Canis lupus familiaris: one gene and its partners. The protein of the gene in region 4 purifies or fractionates together with the protein of the main gene of each other region. This does not show direct contact. Links are inferred from orthologs where the notes say so. Each region holds a gene or a part of one and is shown on either strand. Other genes may lie near its edges. The genes, in order: FUS, SRRT, PRPF4B, ZC3H18, RBBP6, SRPK2 and VIRMA.

Evidence for each region.
Region 1: the proteins of ZC3H18 (region 4) and FUS purify together in Homo sapiens (affinity purification with mass spectrometry; 3 studies listed by BioGRID and IntAct, with this or other methods). This does not show direct contact. The link is inferred for Canis lupus familiaris from reciprocal best matches to the Homo sapiens genes ZC3H18 and FUS.
Region 2: the proteins of ZC3H18 (region 4) and SRRT purify together in Homo sapiens (co-immunoprecipitation; 4 studies listed by BioGRID and IntAct, counting the BioPlex papers as one, with this or other methods). This does not show direct contact. The link is inferred for Canis lupus familiaris from reciprocal best matches to the Homo sapiens genes ZC3H18 and SRRT.
Region 3: the proteins of ZC3H18 (region 4) and PRPF4B purify together in Homo sapiens (co-immunoprecipitation; 4 studies listed by BioGRID and IntAct, counting the BioPlex papers as one, with this or other methods). This does not show direct contact. The link is inferred for Canis lupus familiaris from reciprocal best matches to the Homo sapiens genes ZC3H18 and PRP4K.
Region 5: the proteins of ZC3H18 (region 4) and RBBP6 purify together in Homo sapiens (affinity purification with mass spectrometry; 3 studies listed by BioGRID and IntAct, counting the BioPlex papers as one, with this or other methods). This does not show direct contact. The link is inferred for Canis lupus familiaris from reciprocal best matches to the Homo sapiens genes ZC3H18 and RBBP6.
Region 6: the proteins of ZC3H18 (region 4) and SRPK2 purify together in Homo sapiens (affinity purification with mass spectrometry; 3 studies listed by BioGRID and IntAct, with this or other methods). This does not show direct contact. The link is inferred for Canis lupus familiaris from reciprocal best matches to the Homo sapiens genes ZC3H18 and SRPK2.
Region 7: the proteins of ZC3H18 (region 4) and VIRMA purify together in Homo sapiens (affinity purification with mass spectrometry; 3 studies listed by BioGRID and IntAct, counting the BioPlex papers as one, with this or other methods). This does not show direct contact. The link is inferred for Canis lupus familiaris from reciprocal best matches to the Homo sapiens genes ZC3H18 and VIRMA.

Annotation. Positions count from the first base shown.
Region 1 is NC_049227.1:17,230,614-17,234,854, reverse strand, and holds the start of FUS (RNA-binding protein FUS), read left to right. Parts: upstream 1-1,441; 5' UTR 1,442-1,563; coding exon 1,564-1,576; intron 1,577-3,142; coding exon 3,143-3,167; intron 3,168-3,260; coding exon 3,261-3,415; intron 3,416-4,241. UniProt on the Homo sapiens protein: DNA/RNA-binding protein that plays a role in various cellular processes such as transcription regulation, RNA splicing, RNA transport, DNA repair and damage response. Binds to ssRNA containing the consensus sequence 5'-AGGUAA-3'.
Region 2 is NC_049227.1:8,831,701-8,835,200, reverse strand, and holds part of SRRT (serrate RNA effector molecule homolog), read left to right. Parts: intron 1-794; coding exon 795-964; intron 965-1,096; coding exon 1,097-1,281; intron 1,282-1,466; coding exon 1,467-1,565; intron 1,566-1,649; coding exon 1,650-1,767; intron 1,768-1,951; coding exon 1,952-2,109; intron 2,110-2,791; coding exon 2,792-2,853; intron 2,854-2,955; coding exon 2,956-3,034; intron 3,035-3,291; coding exon 3,292-3,480; intron 3,481-3,500. UniProt on the Homo sapiens protein: Acts as a mediator between the cap-binding complex (CBC) and the primary microRNAs (miRNAs) processing machinery during cell proliferation.
Region 3 is NC_049256.1:5,595,361-5,598,860, forward strand, and holds part of PRPF4B (serine/threonine-protein kinase PRP4 homolog), read left to right. Parts: intron 1-1,616; coding exon 1,617-1,731; intron 1,732-1,824; exon of another isoform or gene 1,825-1,986; intron 1,987-2,316; coding exon 2,317-2,468; intron 2,469-2,892; coding exon of another isoform or gene 2,893-2,979; exon of another isoform or gene 2,980-3,500. UniProt on the Homo sapiens protein: Serine/threonine kinase involved in spliceosomal assembly as well as mitosis and signaling regulation. Connects chromatin mediated regulation of transcription and pre-mRNA splicing.
Region 4 is NC_049226.1:65,246,645-65,250,144, forward strand, and holds part of ZC3H18 (zinc finger CCCH domain-containing protein 18), read right to left. Parts: intron 3,002-3,500; coding exon 2,403-3,001; intron 1-2,402.
Region 5 is NC_049227.1:21,720,899-21,724,398, forward strand, and holds part of RBBP6 (E3 ubiquitin-protein ligase RBBP6), read right to left. Parts: intron 3,114-3,500; coding exon 1,350-3,113; intron 991-1,349; coding exon 1-990. UniProt on the Homo sapiens protein: E3 ubiquitin-protein ligase which promotes ubiquitination of YBX1, leading to its degradation by the proteasome.
Region 6 is NC_049239.1:15,480,313-15,483,812, reverse strand, and holds part of SRPK2 (SRSF protein kinase 2), read right to left. Parts: intron 3,006-3,500; coding exon 2,897-3,005; intron 1,816-2,896; coding exon 1,728-1,815; intron 1,535-1,727; coding exon 1,447-1,534; intron 1-1,446. UniProt on the Homo sapiens protein: Serine/arginine-rich protein-specific kinase which specifically phosphorylates its substrates at serine residues located in regions rich in arginine/serine dipeptides, known as RS domains and is involved in the phosphorylation of SR splicing factors and the regulation of splicing.
Region 7 is NC_049250.1:39,865,439-39,868,938, reverse strand, and holds part of VIRMA (protein virilizer homolog), read left to right. Parts: intron 1-1,203; coding exon 1,204-1,347; intron 1,348-3,177; coding exon 3,178-3,332; 3' UTR 3,333-3,500. UniProt on the Homo sapiens protein: Associated component of the WMM complex, a complex that mediates N6-methyladenosine (m6A) methylation of RNAs, a modification that plays a role in the efficiency of mRNA splicing and RNA processing.

The DNA of each region.
Region 1 (4,241 bases), on a different chromosome or scaffold from region 4:
CCTGGATCTAGCCCGCATCAGGCTCCCTGCATGGAGCCCGCTTCTCTGTGTCTCTGCCTCTCTCTCTCTCTCTCTGTGTGTCTCTCATGAATAAATTAAATCTTAAAAAAAAAAAAAAAAAGCAGTATTTTGCAGCCACACAGACCTGGACTGGAATCCGGTCGAACCCTTAGCCACCCTATAATCTGGATTGTGCTTGGCCTTCGTTGGATGCTTTCTTGCCTATAAAATGGGAGATACCTTTTCTTCACAAGATGGTGATGGGAACACAATCAATTAGCGTTGCTTTTTAAAAGATTATTTATTTGAGAGAGAGAGCGGGCACACCGCAGGAGCAGGAGCAGAGGTGGGAGCAGGGAAGAGGGGCAGAGGGAGAGGAAACCTCAAGCCATCCCCAACTGAGCGAAGAGCCAAGAGAGGGCTCAATCTCACCACCCTGAGATCACCACCTGAGCGGAAATCGAGTCCGATGCTTAATCAACTGAGCCATGCAGGCGCCCCTGAAGATTTTATTTTTAAGTCACCTCTACACCCAACGTGGGGCTGGAACTCATAACTCTGAGATCAAGTCACACACGCTCCACTGACTGCACCAGTCAGGCGCCCCTGATTGTACATTTTGAAACCACTTACACTCTCTATAAATATCAGTTATCACTGACCCTCCACGTTGGTTCCTTGGTAGGGCTTTAGGAAAAAAAAAAAAAGTTCTGCATCAGTAAAAGAAGTAAGGGAGACCCTAATCTAATCTCAACGGCTCTGACGTCCAGGAGGGCCTGGGCTTTCCCGTCCCACCGCTAAGTCAAGGGCAAAATCCAGAAGAGGTCTGGTGGGCGATCAGGGCTGGGGTCCGGGTTAAGCTCCTTTCAGGTCGGACGTCACGATCCACAATTGCTGGCAAGGACCAAGGGAGACGCAAACCAGAAAGATGATGGCAGGGGGAACCTGCGACGCGGGGCGTGTGTTGTCGGGGGGGGGGGAGGAACGTTTGAGCCGGAGAGGGAGGTTGGCGCCGCAGGGACCAAGCATCTGGTGCAGTGGAAGGGCACCGGGGCGCAGGGGCTCGCCGTCCTAGTGAAAGTGGGGCCCAGTGAAAGGGGCCAGCCGGGAGAATTTCGGTTCCCGCCCCGCGACTCCCGGCTTCGACTACACTTGCGTCCGCAGACGCCCTGGGCCCCTCGCTCCACCCCCAGGTGGGAGGGGTCAATGGACCGTACCATGATGCCCTTCTAGGGGGTGAAGGTGAGGCTTGGGCCAGTCCTGCAGGGAGAGTCAGAGTACTTTGCTAGGAAAAATAGGGTTATGTATGTTGCCTGCCAAGTTTCTTAATCGCTATGCTTCCCCTCTGTCTATGAGGATCCTCGGTACTCCCTGAGGGGTTGCAGAGTCCAGCCACGCTCCCCCCTTCCCTCTCCGCACTTCGTGCATTCCTCCGCGGTACGTAGGCGGGGGAGACGTACATAAGTCTCGACGCAGGAGGCGGGGCCGCTCAGTCCTCGAGGCGTCGGTGCTCTGCGGTGTTGGAACCTTGTTGCTTGCCGGCCTGTGCGCGCGTGCGCGGACATGGCCTCCAACGGTATGTAAGGGCGCGAGGCGGCGGCGGCGTGCCGGCCTGGGGCTTCGGTCCCTCCCAGCTGGGCTTTTTTTTTTTTTTTTCTTTTCTGATGGGACCCGGGTGGCGGATCGCGTGTAGGGTTTTCTCGCACCGCTGTGGCGGGAAGCAACGGGAGGGGTGGAGGGGGGGGGGGGAGGCCTGTGTCGCCATTTTGTTTCGCTTCTCCGGCGCCTTGCGCGTGGTAGGGGATCTTGCCGTCTCAGTGCCTTTACTTGAGGTGAGATTTGACACGGACGTTTCTTGGTAATTTGAAACGTGAGGCACGCATGGAAACGCTCGGTCCCGAAGCCTTCCCTCCCCCCCCCCCTTCCCAGCCGCGAGCTCGGGCCCCGCTTTGTCGCAGTGCTGCATCCGGGCACTCGGTGCGCGCACGCGCCCTGCTGGCCCCTCCCCCCTTTCTCGCGGCGCGAACCCCCCTCCCGCCTCGTGTTAGCCCTGCTTTTTGTCGCGATACTCTCCGCTGCAGGCTCCGTAGCGCGCGTCCGGTGTGGGCCTAGCCCCGGGGGTCCCTCGGGAAGGGGCGGGACCGCCTGCTTCCCGCCTCGGTTGCCACGCGGCCGGGGGCGGAGGCTCGGGATCGGGGCCGTGCGCCAGCTTAACGGTTTGGGGGAGGCCCCTAGGGGGTCGTCTAACGGACTTGGGACCGGGCCCGAGGGTTTTCCCGCCTAAATTTCCGCTTTCCGTGGTGGGAGTCGAGAGGAACGGCCGCCCGAGGCCACACCCTCTCCCGATCTTTTGCCCTTTTCCTGCGGGGGAAGCGCCTCGTTTCCTGTACTGAGGAGGTGATGAGTTGATCTGGGTTGGTGCGCCTTCATTGGGGGCGATTTAAAAGCGCTTTCGCGACATTTGGTTTGCCGAGACTCCCAACAGCCCTCGAGGAAGGCAATGCAGATGAGCAGACGGAATCGTTTGGAGGCACGGGGCTTGGCACTTGAGTCCCAGTTGATTGACCTCCGAAAGCGAACTCTGTGATGATCTCTGTTATTTGGGGTCGGAGAGTTCTCTTGGTTACGTGGCTTTGTACTAAAAAAGCCCACGTTGTCATTCTCCAAGATTAGGCAAAGGGTGAAGAATGGCCTCATTTGAGACCTATCTGTTCTTTGGGCTTGGTTGAGAGAGTGGAGGCCGCATCCCCCTCACTGCTGCCTTTGGCTTGCATCAAAATCTGTCCCCAGTTTGTGACTTTAACTCGACTGTTGATGATACCTTTCCCCTAGAGTAGGTAAGAAAATAAAATGTTATGTAGGTTTGTGCAGTTCCTGACATCAGTTGAATTCACAGAACATTGTAGTTTACCACCAAGATTCTTTTTTTTTTGTTTTGTTTTTGGTGAGACTTCTTGGTATCCATTGGGAGAAAACTTGATTATGACCTGCCATCTTGTCCTTCCTGTCATGAGGGAATTTCTGCCTTTTCTTGCAACATTGTTGATACTATCTGAAGGCCCCAGGGCTTGAGTTAAGAAATTTAATTCTGTTATACTCTCAAGGATGGCTGAAGGTAATGTAATTGTATTTTCTTTTGCAGACTATACCCAACAAGCAACCCAAAGGTGAGTGTTGTTTCAGGACTTCCAGTTCGTAGGGTGGCAAGGGTGGCTAAGGTATCTTTTCTTGATTCCACTGGTTTTTTTCTTTTTTTCCAGCTATGGGGCCTACCCCACCCAGCCTGGGCAGGGCTATTCCCAGCAGAGCAATCAGCCCTATGGACAGCAGAGTTACAGTGGTTACGGTCAGTCAGCAGACACTTCAGGCTACGGCCAGAGCAGCTATGGTTCTTCTTATGGACAGACCCAGAACAGTGAGTCTCTTTTAGTGGGTTACCCCGCCTCTTCCTGCTCTTTGAATGTTGCTTTTCTTAAACATTGCTGAAATGTTGAAACTGTATTTCTTTATTCGTAGTCTGTAACCCTTGAACTTTTTTTGGAGTTTGAATCTTTTCAAACAAATATTTAATTGGTTTGTAATTCTGGTTCCTTTTATTTCTGACTTTGAATTTTTCTGTTTATATTCTCCTTCCCATTTCCCTTCAGCATGACAATGAAATGTGGAGAGGAGAGTATTCCCTAAATGGAGAAAGTTTTAGGTTTTTTTTTTTTTTTTTTAAAGATTTTATTTATTTATTTATTAATTGAGAAACACAGAGGAGAGAGAGAGAGGCAGAGACACAGGCAGAGGGAGAAGCAGGCTCTGCGCAGGGAACCCAACGCGGGACTCAATCCCGGGTCTCCAGGATCACACCCTGGGCTGAAGGCAGCGCTAAACCACCAAGCCACCTGGGCTGCCCAGTTTTAGGTTTTTCATACAGGGAGGAAATGATTTGCTTAAAGATGTTTGAAGTCAGATTACTATGTATCATGGTGATACACAAACGGTAGAATGTACCTTGAGATCCTAATATGTACATAATGTGGGTTTCCCTATTTGTACTACACCCTTCTGAGAGGGTTAAAATACTTAATGAATAGGAATAGGAATCTCTTGGGATGGGATGCCTGGGTGGTTCAGCGGTTGAGCGTCTGCCTTTGGCTCAGGGCGTGACTCTGAGATCAAGTCTCACATTGGGTTCCCTGCATGGAGCCTGCTTCTCCCTCTGCCTACATCTCTGCTTCTCTCTCTTTGTGTCT
Region 2 (3,500 bases), on a different chromosome or scaffold from region 4:
TTCAATTTCTGGGACTTTGTCACACTTTCCCTTTCTGTTTTTCTCATACTCTTCATTTTTTTTGTTTTTACCCCCTCAAGGTCCTATTTTAAATGTTTCCTTTCCATGCTCCACCCTAATCCTGCACCTCTTTTCTCTCTCTCTCTCTCTCTCTCCCTCTCTCTCTCTTTCTCTCTCTCTCTCCCTGTGGGCAGTACCTGAGGTTATAAGGGCACTTCAGTTTCTCCCTTTGATCTTTCCCTGTCCCTTCACCATCTGCTTTTCTTCCCAAGGGGGGAGAAAACTTCTGCCTTTTTTGGCTTTTCCTATCAGTGCATTTCAGGTTTCCCTCTGTCTTCCACCTAGGGATGGAGGGAGTTGGTGGGAGCAGTCCTGTTAATGACTAGCTCTTGGGTTGGCAAGGAGAGGGAGGTTCTCTGGGATCTACTATTTCCTTAGCCTTCCTCTTGGAAGCTTTGGGAAACTACAGTTTTTTAAGTTAGTGTTTCCCAGAGACACAGGGCAATCATTCTGCCTCTCTAACCCTGGCCTTCCCCTTTAGTCATGGCTTTTCCCAAATCCAGAGCTCTTAGTTCCTGGCTCTCCCACAAATCTTCTCAGAGCATAACCTCTGGTTCCTTTTGGGGGTATTGGGTGGTTCTAGTGTACCCTTCTCCCCAGTCTTTCTGCTTTCATGGTTTTTTGTGGGTGTGAGAGGATGGGGGCTAAGCCCTGACTTGCCTGGGCCCCTCCCCATGTCCTGGCCCTGGCATCCAGTGACTATTTTGTCTCTTCCCTCCCCACTTCCTTCCCAGGTTTCGGTCTAAGTACCACCCAGATGAGGTGGGGAAGCGTCGGCAGGAGGCCCGGGGGGCCCTGCAAAACCGACTGAGGGTATTCCTGTCCCTTATGGAGAGTGGCTGGTTTGATAATCTTCTCCTGGACATAGACAAAGCTGATGCCATCGTCAAGATGCTGGATGCAGGTATGTGGATTTGGGAGGGGAAGAGGGTGTCTGGTGACCCAAGATCTTGGTTTGGAAATAGAAGTCAGTTGATAAGCAAGAGGCTGAAGGCCAGGACCCTAGGATTGTGACCTCTGCTCCCTTTGTTGGTAGCTGTGATTAAGATGGAAGGAGGGACAGAGAATGATCTGCGCATCCTGGAGCAGGAGGAGGAGGAGGAGCAGGCAGGAAAGCCTGGAGAGCCCAGTAAGAAAGAGGAAGGCCGGGCTGGACCAGGCCTGGGGGATGGAGAGCGCAAGGCCAATGATAAGGATGACAAGAAAGAAGACGGCAAACAGGTCAGAGTGCTGGGCTCATTGGGTGCTGCCTCTGAGTTCCTAGGGAGGAGGAAGGTGCAACTTCAGTGGTCAGGGGGCCTGGTGGGTTGTGTGCTGGGTCCAGGAGAGGTGGAGGGCTAGGGAGGGGGCCCTCTGATAAAGGTTGAAGGGGAGATGGACATCCCCGGGATTGTCTGTACCTGCAGGCTGAAAATGACAGTTCTAATGATGACAAAACTAAGAAATCTGAGGGTGATGGGGACAAGGAAGAGAAGAAAGATGACTCTGAGAAAGATGCCAAAAAGGTAGGGTATCTCTTGCCAGGCGGTCATTGTCAGATCTGGGGTCCTGGTTATCTGACTCCCCTCCTCTTGCTGTGGCTCTCACAGACTAGCAAGAAGCGGAACAGGAAGCACAGTGGTGATGACAGCTTTGATGAAGGCAGCGTGTCAGAGTCCGAGTCAGAGTCAGAGAGTGGCCAAGCTGAGGAAGAGAAGGAGGAGTCTGGTAGGTTTTATCTTCTTTTAGTTCATTCTCTTCCTATTGAATAGGGGTAGGGGAGGTGGGAGTGGGCAAAATTGATAAGGGCCGGCCTTTGGGACATGGGGGTGGGGGGGGAGTTGCACCACTTCTTTCTTTCCCTCCAAAATCAACAATAAATATTCACCAACTTCCAACACTTCCTGCATAGAAGAGGCACTAAAAGAAAAGGAGAAGCCCAAAGAAGAAGACAGAGAGAAGCCTAAGGACACTCCTGGGTTGGAATGTAAACCTCGGCCCCTCCATAAGACTTGCTCCCTCTTTATGCGCAACATCGCACCCAACATCTCTCGAGCCGAGATCATTTCTGTGAGTGGGAAAAAGTGGTACTGGCTGCAGGAATGGCATATTTGGTAGCAGGGAAGGGGAGCTGGTGAGGCGGGGGTAAGATAATATGGTTCTGCTTCTAACATATACCCATTTCTCTAACAGGGAAGCCTCTTCTCGTGGGCCCTTTGTGGGCTGGCCCTCGATTATACCATTTGCTTCTAAGTGCTTTTACTCTTTAAAAATTTATTCATGAGAGACAGGCAGAAGATAGAGGGAGAAGCAGGCTTCCTGCAGGGAGCCAGATGTGGGACTTGATCCCAGAACCCCGGGATCACACCCTGAGCTGAAGGCAGATGCCCAACTGCAGAGTCACACAGGCGTCCCTTAAGTGCTTTTATGATTATTATTTTTTTAAAGATTTTATTTATTCATGAGAAAGAGAGAGAGGCAGAGACACAGGCAGAGCGAGAAGCAGGCTCCCCACAAGGAGGCAAATATGGGACTCAGTCCCGGATCCTGGGATCACACGCTGAGCCAAAGGCAGGTGCTCAACTGCTGAGCCACCCAGGCATCCCAAGTGCTTTTATTATTAAGCCCTTTATTGGTTTTTCCTTACTTGAAAGATTCACAGGCATTTCTCAGGGTTCTTAGGACACAGGGATTGGAAGAAGTGAGAAACGCTGAATTACTCATTGGGGTTTCTGTTCCTCTGTTTTTCCAGCTTTGTAAAAGATACCCAGGCTTCATGCGTGTGGCACTGTCAGAGCCCCAGCCTGAGAGGAGGTGAGGAATGGAGATGAGAGTGACCCTGTATACCTTGGAAATAGGTACAGGGGGAGGCTAATGGCCAGTATCCCAGGGTTATGCTGACCGTTTCTTCTGTAGGTTTTTCCGCCGTGGCTGGGTCACCTTTGACCGCAGTGTTAACATCAAAGAGATCTGTTGGAACTTGCAGAATATCCGAGTAAGTGCTGGGACTGGGTTCTCTGTAATGTACGTCACCCGATTCTTATTTGATTCATTTGTTGTGCTCCCACCCATCTGTTCAGTCTGCTCACATTAACTGTGTACTGGTGTCTGGCCTAGGTGCTGTCCCTGATAAGACCCTCCTGGTCCATGTTCTTGGGGAGCTCATGTTCTAGTCACTGGTCTTGTCACTAGGGCTAGTCCCTTGAGCTGCTGCTTCTCGGGCACATTTGGTGAGCTCTGTGTTCTCTCTAGCTCCGGGAGTGTGAGCTGAGCCCTGGTGTGAACAGAGACCTGACCCGTCGAGTCCGCAACATCAATGGCATCACCCAGCACAAGCAGATAGTGCGCAACGACATCAAACTGGCCGCCAAGCTGATCCACACGCTGGATGACAGGACCCAGCTCTGGGCCTCTGAGCCTGGGACACCTCCTCTGCCAACAGTCAGTGACTCCCATGGAAC
Region 3 (3,500 bases), on a different chromosome or scaffold from region 4:
CGTAATAGATTTTGTTTGACTTTACAATGTGTTACACATCTAATATGACCTGGGATTAGAGAAGCTAAGTAATTACAGTGAAATAAGTGAATTATAGACCTGTCTAGTCAACTTCAAAGTTAATGTTTATCTCCATTTGTTTCTTTTAAATTGTGAAATACACCATCTGTACCGAAGACTGTATAAAATATGTAAAATTTAAAGGTAATTATGCAGTGAACATCTGTGTAACCACCATAGAAGTTAAGACATTTGCCAGTATCTTAGGAGCTCTTGTTTTTAAAACTTCATTTTCTTTGAGTTAATGCTACTCTGGTAGTTTACACATGGACTTCAGACATTACAGGTTTCTCTCCTTCCTGAGAACGAGGAGGTAGACATCAGAAACCAGAGGGAGTTTATGAATGAAAATCCAAACCCTTTAGCCCAGCATTTCAGCCATCAGTGTGGTAGGAGTTCCATGTTTCTCATGGAGGTTGTGTAGCCAAACTGGAGAGTGCAGATAAGTGTGGGTATCCTGTGATTATTTAAGGCGTCTTAGCCAGCCCAGGAGTTCAACTGATAATTTCTCATTTAAAAATTGTCCGTGAAAAATAATCATTTCCGTTACTAGCTTAATTCTGTGGATATCCTCTTTAATGGGCCAATCTGTAACACTGACCAAGTGTTCTGGTGTCCCAATAGAAAGTGCCTAGTTTATTTAAAGTGTTATGTTTCTTTGGGGTGGGAACTGTAGGCCAAGTTCAAGTCCCAACTCGGAATTTGTGTGTGTCTCTTTTGAAGGGGGGAAGGGACTCTGGAATATGAATTATCTTCACTTGTTAGACCTGAACATGCTTCTGACTCATGAGTGGCAGCAGCCATGGGAGCAACTCCAGCCTTTCTCAGCAGATGTCACTGTTACTGTGTATGTTGAAGTATTTACAAAGGAAAAAAGAAACAAATAACTAATATAGAGTTCGTGTTTATCAGTTGTGCCAAATATATTTAACATTTTCTTAACTAATACCTTCTTTATATTTAAGGGATTTGATACTTTTTAGACTTGAAGTGATTGCTAAATATGGGATGGTCTAGCCGCTTCGGATGAAGAATGTTCTTATTCTGTTTTTGTCCAGATTTAATCTGAATCATCCTCTGCTTTCATTGCTGTCATAATTTTCTGGCAACTGAAAGTTAACTACAGTCACTTGAAAGTTAACCTAAATCTGATCCTTATTAATGAATTGTCTTCATGTTCCTTTAAATAGTAACTCGACTTGATTCAGGTATTCTGGGGATTTTTAGAAGATGCTTTGCTTCAATGAGATTTTTCTCTTACTATACCCCTCCCTTTTCTAAGTAGCATTGGTTAAAATTAAATGTCCTTGGTATTAGCCCGTATTTCTTCACTGAAAAAAGTTTTTTTTTTACTCATAGTAATCAAATATTTAATAGCTTTTAATTTTTTTATAATTAGGAAATTGACTTATTACATAATTAGAAAAGGAATTTTAAAATGGGTAACTTTGTTTTCAGTATTGGAAGTAACTTCTCAAAGCCAGTTATTTTTATCTGATTACTTGTCATAATTATTTTGGACATGAATTAAACTTCCATGATAAACTGTTTTGCAGGTTAATGAATCAAAAACTATTTTAAAGCTCTGCGATTTTGGGTCGGCTTCACATGTTGCGGATAATGACATAACACCTTATCTTGTCAGTAGATTTTATCGTGCTCCTGAAATCAGTAAGTTTCTTCAAATGTTCTTTGACCTGGGCCATCATATGCAGTGGAAACAGCATATTTAATGTCTAAGTACTGTTTTCCATCGCACTTCAGCAGCTGCACGAGGTCATTGATGAGGAAGGGAACCGTAGCAAGTTCATCCTCCTCAGGTGGAATGGTGGTAGTTGTGACAGGAGTCTTGATCATGTCTGGCAAGAGTAGCAAAACAGTTGTGGAAAATCTTCGGCTTTAGAAGACTGCTCTTGATTACTCAAGGTCTGATTATCAAATTTATGGATTGTATGGGACCTTTTTTTGCTCTTCCTGTGCCTTGGTTGAGGCTGGTTAGCACCTCCACCAAAGGTGAAATAAAAGAAATACACACTTCCTCTGCCCCCTGCCCCCCTTTCAATTCCTTCTGCATTCCCTCATTTTTTAAGATTTTAAGTTAAGAATTAGTGGGGGAAAAAAAAACATGAAGCTAATGCCAAAGTGAGGTATTAAGATTGCAGTTATGTAAGCCAAGCTAAATTAATCCCCTATTAATGAAAGTAAATAGTGGATTGTTACTATCATCATGTATTAAAACTTCTGTTTTGTTTTCAGTTATAGGTAAAAGCTATGACTATGGTATAGATATGTGGTCTGTAGGTTGTACCTTATATGAGCTCTACACTGGAAAAATTTTATTTCCTGGCAAAACCAATAACCATATGTTGAAGCTCGCCATGGACCTCAAAGGAAAGATGCCAAATAAGGTAGGGCATTAATGTGAGTTTTTATTATTATTTTTTTAACGTCTTAGCAATAGTTTACTGTAGACCAATGCATTACTGCACTCATCACTCACTAGTGGCTATAAAACCATTTCAGAAAGGCAGCTATATGGCTACTGTGATTCCTTAGCTCTTTTTCATTTCTGCTACTAAAGGTAGTGGTTCTAGTCAGCGAAGAGCTATCAGAAGTGAATAAGAGAGCTCCATTTTCCTGTTCCCCTCTAACATCTCTCTTTGCTTTTCTTTACTCTTTTAAGCAGAAGAGTAGGGGCCTACAGAATAGAATTGGAATTGAGGAAGAGAGATTGATGAGCATACATTTGTTAAGCAACCATACATGTATATATGACTGTTTCATATCTTTGTTCTTCCCTTGTTCCATTTATTATCCTTTAATGATGGGCAGAGAAGCAGCCTTGGGAGCACACCGTTATTGGTAACAGCACCAAACATGCTTGAGAGGTGGAATGAAAAAAGATGCAGGTCAGGTTAGTTCAGATGTGAAGAAGGGCTCAGTTGCCAGAGAATGACGGGTGAATATTGGAAAAGGAACTTGATGGCAATCAGCTTATTAAAGATTGGAAGTTATTTGGGAAAGGAAGGTACCAAGAAAAACTCACTTGAAATTGACGTCCTTCTAACATAAAACTTGCCCTTAATGCTTCAGCTGCAATAATTAGTTTCAGAAATGAAGCAGAAATTTTAGGCACTTATTAACTTGTCTGAGGGCTATATGTTAGATTTCCGATGACTTCAGCTTAATTTGCTGAATTTCTGGGAGTTTACAGATTTTTCCCAAAGTAGGTCAGAAGCCATTATGTTTTTTAGGTACTGTCCAAATTCAATCATGTTGCACTTGTTTAGAATAATTTACACAGAAATTAGTTAACGTTGGTATTTGTTTTAATGAGGTCTGACCTGTATCATTTCAGGGCTGTTGGAACTTAATTTTTAAAATGTCACTGGGTTTCTTAAACTGCCAAGAGAAAAGGCCCCTAATGTGTTATATTTTTC
Region 4 (3,500 bases):
TTCATCCCTCAAAACTCAACTTTTTAAGTGCCTGGGTGGCATAGTCAGTTTAACGTCCAACTCTTGGTTTCAGCTCGAGTCACGATCTTAGGGTCGTGAGATCGAGCCCCGTGTCAGGCTCTGAGCTCAGTAAGGAGTCTGCTTAGGACTGTTTCTCTCTCTCTCCCCTACCATGCATGCACACGTGTTCTCTCTCTCAAATACATAAATAAATCTTTTTAAAAAAAGATCATGATTACCAAAGAGGTAAGAATATGCAATGAGGAAAAGTCTCAACAAATGTGTTGAGAAAACCAGACAGCCACATGCAGAATGAAACTGGACCACTTTCTTGTACCATATACAAATTCATTTCCTTGCCTTTTGCAGCTTCTGGAGGCTGCCCGCATTCCTTGGTTTTTGACTCATTCTTCCATCTTTAAAGCCAGCAGCTATGGCAATATTTTTCTAGATACGTCTCCAGACGCAAGGGAAACAGAAGCAAAAATGAACTATTGGGACTTCATCAAAATGAAAAGCTTTTGCACAGCAAAAGAAACAGTCAAAAAAACTTGAAGGCAGCCCAAAGAATGGGAAACAATATTTGCAAATGACATATCCAGTAAAGGGTTAGTATCTAAAATACGTAAAGAACTTGTAAAATTCAACACCAAAAAAACAAATAATTCAATTAAAAAATGAGCGGAAGACATGAACAGACATTTCTCCAAAGAAGACAAACAGGGCAGACCCGGTGGCCCAGTGATTTAGTGCTGCCTTCGGCCCGGGGTGTGATCCTGGAGACCCGGGATCGAGTCCCACGTCAGGCTCCCTGCATGAAGTCTGGTTCTCCTTCTGCCTGTGTCTCTGCCTCTCTCTCTCTCTCTGTGTCTGTCATAAATAAGTAAATAAAATCTTAAAAAAAACCCAAAAAAACAAAAAACAAAGAAGACAAACAAATGGCCAACAGACAAATGAAAAGATGCTCAACATCACTCATCATCAGGGAAATACAAATCAAAACCAGAATGAGAAACCACCTCACACCTGTCAGAATGGCTAAAATCAACAATGCAAGAAACAGCAGGTGTTGTCAAGATGTGGAGAAAGGGAAACCCCCTTACAATGGTGGTGGGAATGCAAACTGGTGCGGTCCGTCACTGTGGAAAATAGTACAGAGGTTCCTCAAAAAGTTAAAAATAGAGCTACCCTACAGTCCACCAATTGCACTACTGGGCATTAACCCAAAAAATACAAAAATACTAATTCAAAGGAATACATGCACCCCTATGTATACTGCATTATTTACAGTAGTCAAAATTTGGAAACAGCCCAAGTGTCCATCAACAGATAAACAGATAACAAAGATATGGTATAGAAACACAATGCAATATTACTCATCTGTAAAAAAAAAAAAAAAGATGAGTAATTACTCATCTGTAAAATCTTGCCATTTGCAATAACATGGATGAAGCTAGAGAGTATAATGCTAGGTGAAATATATCAGTCATTAAAAGATAAATACCATATGATCTCACTCATATGTAGAATTTAAGAAATAAAGTCGGTAAAAAGAGAGAGGCAAACCTGGAAACACACTCGGAACTATAGAGACCACCCTGATAGTCACCAGAGGGGAGGTGGGTGGGGAGATGGGGGAAACAGGTGATGGGGATGAAGATGAAGGGGTGTACGTGTCTCAAGGAGCAAGTGGTGATGTATGGAAGTGCTAATCACTATACTATACACCTGAAACTAATACTATGCTGGAACTAAAATAAAAAAAAACTTAAATATTTGCATTATAAAACCCAACCAATCCATGTCCAAAAAAATATGTTACTGTTACCTTCTCTGTAACCTGAAAGTCAGATTACTTAAATAAATCATAACAAATTATGATGGCTTAATCAAAGGCTGAGATGTTTGGAGGCACAACCCCTATGATGCATTCCAAAAGCTCTTTTCAGGGACACCTCCAAAGATGCTTGGTCCAGCTGGGACCCTCGCCAAAGAATGGGTTCAGGTACAAAGATAAAAAAGCCTGGAAGAACAATCAAGACTCAAAGCAAGCTTCTGGAGTTCATGAGTCTCACAAACCCGACAGGAACTGAAAATCTACAATAGTTTTAGTTGAATATAATCTCAAGTATTATTTAAAGATAGCAAAAAGAAAGGGAGAAATGATCTCTCTAGGTTGCACAAACCTAGAGCTCAAGAAAACAAAATCGGGATTAGGCATTTTAATATACTCCACCAGCAGCAGTAGACAGAGGGTCCATGGAACTTCTGTCAGCCACCAGGTGGCAGACCCCAGTTGTCTGAATCTAGCCTATTCCCTTGGTTTTTGGCACTCCCAGAATAGTCCTGACTTCCCAGCCCTCATGTGCCCTACCCTTTGCCCCACCAGCCCAGGCACTCACGTCGAGCTCCCCATCATCAAGCTCCCCGTCATCATCCTCCTTGTTTTTCTCCTTGGCGGTCTCCAGGGGCTCCTTGTCTTCCACACTGTGAGCGCCTGTAGCCCCCTCTTCCCCAGGAGCTCCTTCTCCCTTCTCCTCATCATCCTCAGCACCAGCCTTCTCGGCCTCATCCTCCTGCCCAGCGGGGGCCGGCTCCTCGGGGACCTCCTCATCGTAGTCTAACTCATGCTCATCCAGGTCCCTGGTGACCGATGAGGCCTCGTCTCTCAGGTCGCTTGTGTGCTCCTCTTCCCCACCGTCCCCCTCTTCAACGTGTGGAGGGCTCGTGGGCTCCCTGCTCAGATCCTGAGCCTCGGACTCCTGGTCCTGGTCCTCCTCGTCAGAGTGACTCTCCTCCTCCTCCTGGCTCAGTCCTGGGGCTGCATTGTCTTCATCCTCCAAATCAGAAGCCCTCTCCCCAGCTCCGTCCAAATCCTGGTCAGACCCACTCTCCCTCAGAATGTCATCATCCGAGAGCCCCTGCTGCTCCTCTTCTTCGTCCTCTGGAGAGCGAGGGTCCCGTTCAGGGCTCTCGGCCACATCCATCGGTACCCACAGTTCTGCAAAATGAAGACAACACAGATGCACAGCAGTTAGCAAAACAGAAAACAAATCCTGGTCTGGTATTTTTGGACTCATGCTCCTTCCTGACCTGCAGGCGGGTCCAGGACCTGCACAGCTCCTCCAAACCCCAGACCCAACTCCACCGTCTCCTGCCACTGACTGTTTCACCAGGGAGGCCGGCAGGCTGGACCCACCCACAAGACCTCCACAAGGCTGCACTGTACTCCCTAAGCTGTGTGTTAAGTGCCTCACACATGCATCAATCTGGCAGAGACCTGGAGTACTTGTCATAAGCACAACCTGGTAGGTAAACAGAAAGTGAGCAATAAGATACGCATTGCAAGGGACAGCTTTTTGGATTCTTAAATTACTCTTAAAATCCAAGAAAAGTTGCATTATAGAATGAAGCAACAGAATTGAAGGCACCCTGCTATCTTTCTGGAGCCATCCTCAAGGGTCTAGAGCAGAAACCCTGACCTGCCTTGTCCCCAGGTC
Region 5 (3,500 bases), on a different chromosome or scaffold from region 4:
TTTTCAATCTGTGGGTCTGGTGGGTTAAGCACATATAGTAATTTATTGCCACTTGATTCTTTATTGTTCCTTGCTTCTAACATGTGCTTCTCACGATCTTTACAAGGATTTTTATCTACAGGTTTTATTTCTTCACTTGGGCGTTTAGTATCATAAGTAGCTTTGTGATCATGAGGTTTTTTGTCTCTTGAGGGACTGGAACTGCTCTTTTTGGAATCTCCTGTTCCTTTTTTGGGCAAATCTCTCTCCTCTCTTGGCTTAGTTTTCTGTCCAGATGCAGAATCTTTACTTCGAGGAGGAGAGTCTTTCCTTCTTGTTAATTCATTCCTTTCATCTCTACGTTTGGAACTTGAGTACTCTCTGTTGTCGTAGTCAGTTTTTTTGTCTCTGTTGGGGGTAAAGTCTTTAGTTGAGGAACCTCGAACTGAATCATGCTTATCTGACGTTCTTGTCTCTTTGGAAGATTGAGACAGACTTTTAAAATTCCCTTGTTCACTTAGACGGTCCAAGTTACTATCTTTCTCTGGCTGAGCGCTGTTCTTCCTCTTTTCAGGGTTTTCCTTCTCTGAAACTGAATGATCTCGATCTTTGGTCTTTCCCTTTTCACTGGAGGCAGAATTTTTTGAACTTTTGATCTCATGCTGTATAAGTTCATGGCTCACTTCCTTGGTGAGTTTCTGAATTTTCTCTGATGACTCACTTTCTTTTTCAGTATACTTGACTGTATTTAATGGTTTAGTGCTAACATTTTTAATAACACTGGCAGGTTTTCCTACATTTGATATAGGCTGTGTGGTCTTAACATCTTCTTCTTCAGATTCAAAGTCATCTTTATCCCATTTGGACTGAGGAACCTGAATCATAATAATAACATCTTCAGCAGGAGCTGTATTGTCGTTATTATATTCTTCCATAGTTTTAATGACAGTTCGTTTTGTATCTGTTTTTTCTTCAGATTTCCGCACAGGACTGCCTCCCGTTGAGCTCGTACTAAAAACAATTAAAATATTGTTAAATAATGAAGAATTTAATGAAGAATTTACTTTTACTGAACATTGAAGTATAATAAGGCTAACTTAAACATAAACGTCCTTTTAACTCTCAAAGCCATTGGCGCTACTCTAATAGAGATTAAATGATTCAAATGTAGGACTGCATAAAAACAAATGTGGCTCACCCACAAACTGATTTACAATCTTCAACTCCTTTCATTAAAGACCAGTCTAACCAGTAAACCAGTCTAACCCCTTTTTAATTAACAGACCCTTTAAAAGTACAAGCATGGATAAAATTAAAGGATATTCTCCCCCAAAACAAACATCTACATCCAACTACCCATAATCAGATACCTGGTGTAATCCACAAGCGTTGAGCTGGATCCCTCAGCTCCAGCTACTTTTCGTCTGACCTTTCCTTTTACTTTTTCTTGTTTAACTTTGCTAGATGTCGACTCTAATTTTTCAGAGGGTTCTTTTGTATTAGATACATTTTCTGTACTTCCAATTTTTTTACCAGTTTCTCTGTTGAGCTTGATTTTTTTGGCTGGGGCAGTTGAGGATGATGAAATCTTGTCCTTCTCAGGGGTCCTATCCATCTTTTCAATATCTGGTTCCATTTTGCGCTTTGGTGATGGTTTCACTATTTCAGTTACTTCTAGTTTAGAGATTTTCATTGAAGAGGACTCAAAATCTTTATCTACGCTTTTTTCTTCGGTTTTTCTTTTTCTTTTTTCTCCCTTGCTGTCAGGTGGCTTACTTTTCTCACTAGGCTTCTTGGCCTTTTCTTCCTTATTTGTTAATTTTTCTGATTTGACATCTTTGGAATAATCCTTCTTCACTTTTTCCTCTTTGACTGGTTTTGTCTCCTGGTGTTCCTTTGCTGACTTAGAGTGAGCTTTCCTGGGGGTACCAATGATCTTTTCATCTTTTTGGGAGGAAGATGATGACTTAGCATTGTCAGTCTTTGGAGTCTCCTCTTTGGCTTTTTTAAGTGGAGGTTCAGATCGAGGAGATTTTTCACGCTCTCCATCTAGTTTTTCTTGAGGTCCCTTAGCAGGTTTTGCAATGTTTTCTTTTTTGGACACTGTAGACCCATCATTTTTCCGTTTGGTCTTGTCACCTTTTGCTTTTGGTTTGTCTTTCTCCCTCTTGTCTTTTTCAGACACTGATTTAAAAGTGATAGATTCTGCATCCATTGGTTCATCTCTAACAGGTGTAGCATCATCTCGACTTGGGAGAACAAACAATGAGTCAGTTTTATTTTCTTCACCACTTGTAGGTTCTCTCGATTTCCTAGAAGTTTCTAACAACTCAGGGTTTAGAAAACCTTCGCTTTCCTCCCCCTTTCTTCTTTTCCTATGTTTCTTATGTTTGTTTCCTTTACCATCTCCAGGAGCATTTTCACTCTCTTTCTCTTTCGACTTTGTGTTGTCCTTCTGATTGTGACTGTCTCTTGTTGAAAGCTTTTCTGGATAGTTGCCACCTAAGTTTCGACTTCTATGACTTTGTCCACCAGCATAATCTTCTCTGCGGCCTCTTGTGAAGGGAGAATTCCTGATATTAAGAGGCAAAAACCTCTCTGGAGAAAAGTTCTCTCTATTTGCTGATGGTCTAGGCTGTGCTCCAGTAGCATAACCTATTTTATAATACTTTTCATACCACTCTCTATATTTTCTCTCCCATTCTCGGTAACGCTCTTTTTCAAATGGGTCTCTAAAATCAACACTCCTCCCATAATAAGCTTTCATGTCATAAGGTGGCGGAACTTCTCTGTATCTATTAAAATATTCACGTTCTGTTTCCCCTTGAGGCACATTACGTTTATTGGGAGACTGTCCCCTAAATGCTTGAGGAGATCTTGACCGTGAATGATACCGTCTATATGGGGGTGACCTTGACCTAGATCGATGATATCCATGAGATCTAGACCGTGAACGGTAATTTCTGCTCTTGCCTCTGCCTCTTCTGGGGTATGGAGGCGATCGTGAATAGGAACGAGAGTGTGAGCGGCTAAATGATCGAGAATAAGAACGTGAACGTGTTGAACCAGATCTTGACTTAGAATAAGTATAGGAACTTCTTGAATATGATGAACCACTATAAGGAGATTTAGACCTAAAAACAAAAACAAAACAATAATTGATAGTTGAGAAATACATACAAAATAAAATACAGATTCAGACTCTAGCATGCTCTCCTCACGGTTCCATCTTTTATATCAAATTTCATCTTAGATGATTAAAGAGGCACAGTGACCTCTACTGGAATGGAATAAAGTACACAAAGATCAGAGCAATCACTTGTTACAAAACAAAAGTGAAATCTTGACAATTAGAGTGAAGCGCATTAATGTACCGTGAGTTATATGAGCTAATTAAGTTAACACTAAACAAAATGCCAATTAAATTTAACTTCCTATCTGGTTATTTAAGTAGGAGTAATTTCTTTGTCCTACGTCGGCCAATAGTCTAGCTTTGAAAGGAACCACATTTCAAATGTAAG
Region 6 (3,500 bases), on a different chromosome or scaffold from region 4:
ACCAATCAAATTATCACAGTTGCTTTAAATATTTTTATTTTATTTTATTTTTTGCTTTAAATATTTTTAGTGAAAAATTTAAAAAGCATTTCTACACTGTAGGAGAACATTATAGATTTATGCACAGATAATATAAAGCCAGAAGTTTCTTACTATTTCCCAAATCATTATAAAAAATGGCAAAATGATTACAGTTGGTAAAAGACGCAGAGCCAAAGGCCAAGATTTCTAAATTATGACCTAAATCTTCTCAAAGCACTGACAACCTGGACTATAATGGTTTCCCTGGCGCTTTATAAAATAGTAATAACAGCCACTGGAATGTATATATACCCAAAACACTCCATTTACCTATAAATCAGGTAGTTTCTCCAAAGAAATTCTCTCAGCTATCCCAGCAAACTGCCTTACAAAACTAAGAAGAGGAGCTGCCCTGCCTGCCCATAAACAAACAAGCTCACCTGGAGACAGGGCAAAGGACCAGCTCTGTCTATAGGGTGGTGGAAAGAACACCAGAACCTGAATGACTTGGATGAGCGTCTGACTCTTGATTTTGGCTCAGTATGTGATCTCAGGGTCATGAGATTGAGCCCTGCATCGGGCTCCATGCTCAGTGGGGAGTCTGCTTGAGATTCTTTCTCTCCTTTTCTCTCTGCCCCTCCTCCTCTTCAAATCTCTCCCTCAAAAATCAATCTTTAAAAAAAAAAAAAAAAAAAAAAAAAAAAACGAGGGGAAAATGCACTGAGCAACAACCAGAAATAATCTTGAGGAAAAGACAAAGTGACATCAGCAGGCACTGGTACTTACTAGTACCCTCTAATCCAATCTCTGAAGGAAATACAGAACCTCCTTCAGACATACAGGGTATGAAGGAAGTGCCTGCTCAGGGATTAAAGCTTAGGAGATACAGAAACAGGGTACCAGTCTGGGCTGTAAGCTGGGAGAAGGCTTTGTCCTCGGGCTTCTGGAGCTGGAGGAGGTCAAATACCAAAATGATGGATCTGTTCCAAACATGTTATGATGGAAGGAGCAAAAGATTGGCAAGGAGAAGACCCTGACTCTTGACACAACCGATCTTTTGCTCCTTTTCATCTGTAATGATGACTGTGACTAATCTTTCTCTGCTCTCTACTTACACATATGTATGGTTCTTCCCCAGCTTGATATTGAAGGTAGAGGGATTGTCTGTAAAGAGCACGGTGCCTGGACAAGAAGAATGTTTAAGATGCTGTACAACCCCAGAGAGATTACCCAAGACACTGAAATGGACTGGCAGGAATTGGGGAATTTTCGGCATACCATGTTATAGCATTCTATGATGACAGTAGAGGCTTTATATAGACATTGATACAGCACAGCAAACAGGAGTTTAAACAAGCTTGAAATATTTCCATATTTTAAAAGTAAAAAGCCACTAGGAAATAAAAGAATTATCAGTAAGGATACGTATTCCATTCATGCCTGAAATCTTGAAGTCATCAATTAACTGTACTACCATGTCTTTATTCGGGTCAGTGGGATCACTTTCTCGAACCTACAGGAAAAAAAATGAATTCAAGGACAGAAATATTTAAGACTGAAAGTCATTTCCATTATAATCAACTAAAAACATTTTAGTAAAATGGATGTTTTTAAAGATAAAAGATTCATCATTCAAACTTAAAAATTCCTCTGTAAAATTTTGTCATTAATTTTTCTTGCATTATTCACATTTTGGGGATACTTACACATTTGAGCAGTTTTATTTCATCCAAGGCTGTCTCTGTATAATGCTGGGCACTTTTTACAACTTTCATTGCAACAAATCTTTTCCCCCTTTAAAAAAAAATGCATATTTTTAATATTAACAGAAGTAATCATTATAATAACATCTATTCAATAAATAGAAACTTCCTTTTTTTAAAGATTTTATTTATTCATGACAGACACACAGAGAGAGGGGCAGGGACATAGGCAGAGGGAGAAGCAGGTTCCCTGCGGGGAGCCTGATATAAGACTTGATCCCAGGACCCCAGGATCAGGACCTGAGCCAAAGGCAGATGCTCAACCACTGAGCCACCCAAGCATCCCAATAAATAAGAACTTCTAAAAATCTTTCCTTTAAAACAGTACTTTTTCGGGGATCCCTGGGTGGCTCAGCAGTTTAGCGCCTGCTTTCAGCCCAGGGTGTGATCCCGGAGTCCCGGGATTGAGTCCCACATCGGGCTCCCTGCATGGAGCCTTCTCCCTCTGCCTGTGTCTCTGTCTCTCTGTGTCTCTCATGAATAAATGAATAAAATCTTGAAAAAAAAAAAAAAAACAAGACAGTACTTTTCAAATTGTGCAACAGCAATTAAGCAATAGGTTAATGGATCAAAACAATCTCTTCTTTGCATCATGTTGTCTTTACCTAATTAAAAAAAAAAGGTAGACTGGAAAAATATCAGAGTTCATCCATACATTAAAGGTAATTCTTATTTTATAACACTTCTGTTTTAGTACATACACATACACACCATATATGTATGTGTGTAAGGGGTAGCATTGTAGTTTCATACTATGGAGCCGTAAAAAAAAAAAAAAAAAAAAGTTAGAAACCACTGACTTTTAAGGTCGACACATCATTATTTTACATGTGAATGTTTCTCTGATATGGGTGAATTATTAGAAGAATATGTGATACAATGCAATTTCAATGAATAAGCTTCAGACATAAAAGCAGAAGAAAGTTAATAATATTAAGATAACAGACAAGAGAACTTCTGACTGGGGTGGGTGGGTCTCTAGGTGAGTGGGGCAGGCTTATGCCAAGTAGTATACATGCCACAACAGAAGTAGGCATGCTCCTCAGCCATATTGTATTATAAAGGTTGAACTAGTCCAGAAACTAAATGCACAAATGACAAAGAACACTTACTGCATATCCCAGCACAGCCAGACAGTTGAGAAGTGTCCCCATCCTAGCTTCCTAATAACATGGTAGCGGCCATTGAAGAGGTCTCCAATTTTCACCGGATGGTAGCCACCTGTTATAAAAAATTTTTTTTTTAATTTCAGAGAAATAGTAATAAAATCTCTTCCTTTGTGTCAGTTCTTTTTTTTTTAAGATTGTATTTATTTTTCAATTAATCTCTATACTCAATGTGGAGCTTGAACTCAAGACCCCAAGATCAAGAATTACATGCTCTACTGACTGAGCCCGCCAGGTGCACCCTTTAGTCAGTTCTTGAGTCCATTTAAGAAAGCTCTAAGTACTAAAATCAGATCAAAATATGTTTAATAATACAACATTTTTCTTGAAAGTATCTTTCATCGAGAGAAAAATGTCCTTTGCCTAAAAAGCCCTTCTGTTCATTCTGATTTAACTCAGACAAGCCATCAAGCACTCTGTAACAGTAATTTGTGTACATAATATGCACACACCAGTTCTTGACTTTTCCATACAATGTCATCTTCTTTTCTAAGCAATAAATTCAATGCAAATCTTCTTGGGTTAGTATAATAACTCAGCAAAATAAAAA
Region 7 (3,500 bases), on a different chromosome or scaffold from region 4:
TTTTCTACACTCAGTGTGGAACTAGACCTCATTACCCCAAGATCATGAGTTGCATGCTTTACCAACTGAGCCAGCCAGACACTTCAGTTTAATGTTTCAGATTGTTTCAAGATTTTATCTGTTAATAAGTTCCATTTCAAACATTGTACACCTGTGTCATACCTATTTCAAAAATGCCACCCTCCATATGGGAGTTAGGGAGACCACTGCACAGTAGAGCTTTAAACACAAATCTTATTTCTTTTTTTTTTTTTTTTTTTAAAAAGATTTTTTTTTTAATTTTTATTTATTTATGATAGTCACAGAGAGAGAAAGAGAGAGAGGCAGAGACACAGGCAGAGGGAGAAGCAGGCTCCATGCACCAGGAGCCCGACGTGGGATTCGATCCCGGGTCTCCAGGATCGCGCCCTGGGCCAAAGGCAGGCGCCAAACCGCTGCGCCACCCAGGGATCCCTCTTATTTCTTTTTAAAGCTACTGTTGTAGAATTTAACAAAAATACATGAAACTTGTTTTATTGATCATTAACGGTGGCTGCTTTTACTTCATGATTTTTTTGTTTCTGTGATTTATTGAACATTCTTTGTTTAAACTTCTTAGAAACAGTGCATTTGTAGAAATTATTCTTCACTAGTGGATTGATGACATGTTTTCGTACTGCTGACTTGGCAGTGAGAGAATAGCAGTTTACATTAATAACAAACACATAGCTGTGTTAGGACTATTATATATATAATACTCTCAAATCAGCCCTTTGAAGTAAGTTCTGTTAGTACCCCCACTTTACAGCAGAGAAAACTACCAGTCAGCTCACCAGGATATATAAGTGGCAGAACCAGTATTTGAACCCTGGCAGTCTGGCTCCAGAGCTTCTGCTTCTAACCACATACAGTACTGCCACAATGTAGTATATGGCAAATATGTCATTTACAGAATTTCATAGTTTCTCTTGTTACTTTGAAGATTAAGAAAAACACGTTGAACCTTAAAAAAAAAAAGGTTATTTATTTATTTATTTGAGAGCGAGTAAGTGAGCATGAGTGAGGGGAAGGTCTGAGGAAGAGGGAGAGGGAGCCTGACGTGGGGCTGGACCCCAAGGTCATGACCTGAGCCAAAGGTAAATGCTTAACTGACTGGCACCCCAGTATCAAATCTTTTTTAATCCAACTAAAGTAGTAGACCTTAATTGTGTTATCTGTGTTCAGGGAACTACAGTCGTCGGGAGGGAACGAGAGGTTCCAGTTGGAGTGCACAGAATACTCCTCGAGGAACTTACAATGAAAGTCGCGGAGGCCAGAGCAACTTTAACAGGGGCCCTCTTCCACCATTACGACCACTTAGTTCTACAGGTATATATCCTTCCTTTTTATTTTATTTATTTATTTATTTATTTCTACAGGTATATATCCTTCCATTTTATTTTATTTTATTTTATTTTATTTTATTTTATTTTATTTTATTTTATTTTATTTTATTTTATTTTATTTTATTTATTTATTTATTTATTTATTTATTTATTTATTTATTTATTTTGGGGGGGGTATATATCCTTCAGAGTTAATACTGCTGAGAGAGGGATGTCATAAACTCTCATTCTGGGAGAGAACATTTTGGAATGTAGGCTTATAATTCTATAGGCAATTTAATTTTATATCTGCAAATGAATGCCCAATGTATATTTCCTGTAGAAATAATCAAAATTCTGGATTCTGAACTATGTGTATAATCTTGGCAGTTTCACAGGGACATGCTCTGTTTTTTTTTGTTTTGTTTTGTTTTTGTTTTTTTAAAAACAGGCTCTTTAAGATTTTATTTATTTATTCATGAGCGAGAGAGAGAGAGAGAGAGAGAGAGAGAGAGAGAGAGAGGCAGAGGGAGGAGCAGAAGCAGGTTCCATGCAGGGAGCCCAACGTGGGACTCCAGGATCCTGGGTCTCCAGGATCAGGCCCTGGGCTGAGGGTGGTGCTAAACTGCTGAGCCACCCGGGCTGCTCTGTTTTTGTTTTTAAAAATTTTATTTATTTACTCATGAGAAACAGAGAGAGAGAGAGAGAGAGGCAGAGACACAGGCAGAGGGAGAAGCAGGCTCCATGCAAGGAGCCGGATGTGGGACTTGATCCTAGATCTCCAGGATCACACCCTGGGCTGAAGGCGGTGCTAAACCGCTGAGCCACCTGGGCTGCCCCCTGCTCTGTTTTTTGTGTTTTTAAAAGACTATTTATTTGAGAGAGAGAGAGTGGGAGTTGGAGGTGAAACCAAGAGTTGGACACTTAACTGACTGAGCCACCCAGGCATCCTTTGCTCTTTTTTTATATTTCTTCTTCTTTTTCTTTCTTTCTTTTTTTTTTTTTTTTTTTAAAGATTTTATTTATTTACTTGAGAGAGAGAGTGTGTATGTACTCCCAAAAGGAGGGGAGGGACAGAGGGAGAGGGAGAAGCTCCTTGCTTAGCAGGGAGCCTGATGCAAGGCTCAATCCCAGGACCATGGGATAATCATCACCTGAGCCGAAGACAGATGCTTTACTGAGCCACCCAGGCACCTCTCCTTTTATATTTCAATGATGAAAGCCAATCCTTAAGGTTTTTTTTGCTCAAAGTATTTTAATAACAGAGATATCTTCATGCAGTATATTCTGTTTCTGTTTACAATATTGTCTTGTGTGTTTAGGCACGCAACCTGTTTTTCTTAAAACACTATTATGTCAAGTCTGGAATTCTGATCACAAGTAGCTTTTGGTTTCAAATACACTTTCATTTTTATTTTTTTATTTTTTATTTTTTTTAATTTTTATTTATTTATGATAGTCACACACAGAGAGAGAGAGAGGCAGAGACGTAGGCAGAGGGAGAAGCAGGCTCCATGCACCGGGAGCCCGAAGTGGGATTCGATCCCGGGTCTCCAGGATCGCGCCCTGGGCCAAAGGCAGGCGCTAAACTGCTGCACCACCCAGGGATCCCCACTTTCATTTTTATAACAGCTTTATTTGAGATATAATTCTCGCATATCATATAACTTAACCTATTTAAAGTGGACAATTCAGTAGTCTTTACCCCATTCACAGATTTTTAAAGGAGCAAAGAGTAATTCCTGTCTTAGTTTGAAATCAGCTTTATAGATTACTGTTTCTATAGTGGGAAAGGAAAGGATATTATGACTAAAAACTATTTTTTCTTTTATAGGCTACCGACCAAGTCCTCGTGACCGCGCTTCCAGAGGTCGTGGGGGTCTTGGACCTTCCTGGGCAAGTGCAAATAGTGGCAGTGGAGGCTCAAGAGGAAAGTTTGTTAGTGGAGGCAGTGGTAGAGGTCGTCATGTACGATCCTTCACACGATAAAAATTCTTTTGGGAACATCCTGAGTGTATATGAACATTTCCTGAGGACGATAAAAATAAAATGAGACATTAAAGGACCAACTTAGACTTAGCAGTTATCTGGAGACATCTGAGAGAATATTTTTATCTGAAGAAAGCAGATTTTGTTTGATACCTAACACAAGATTTC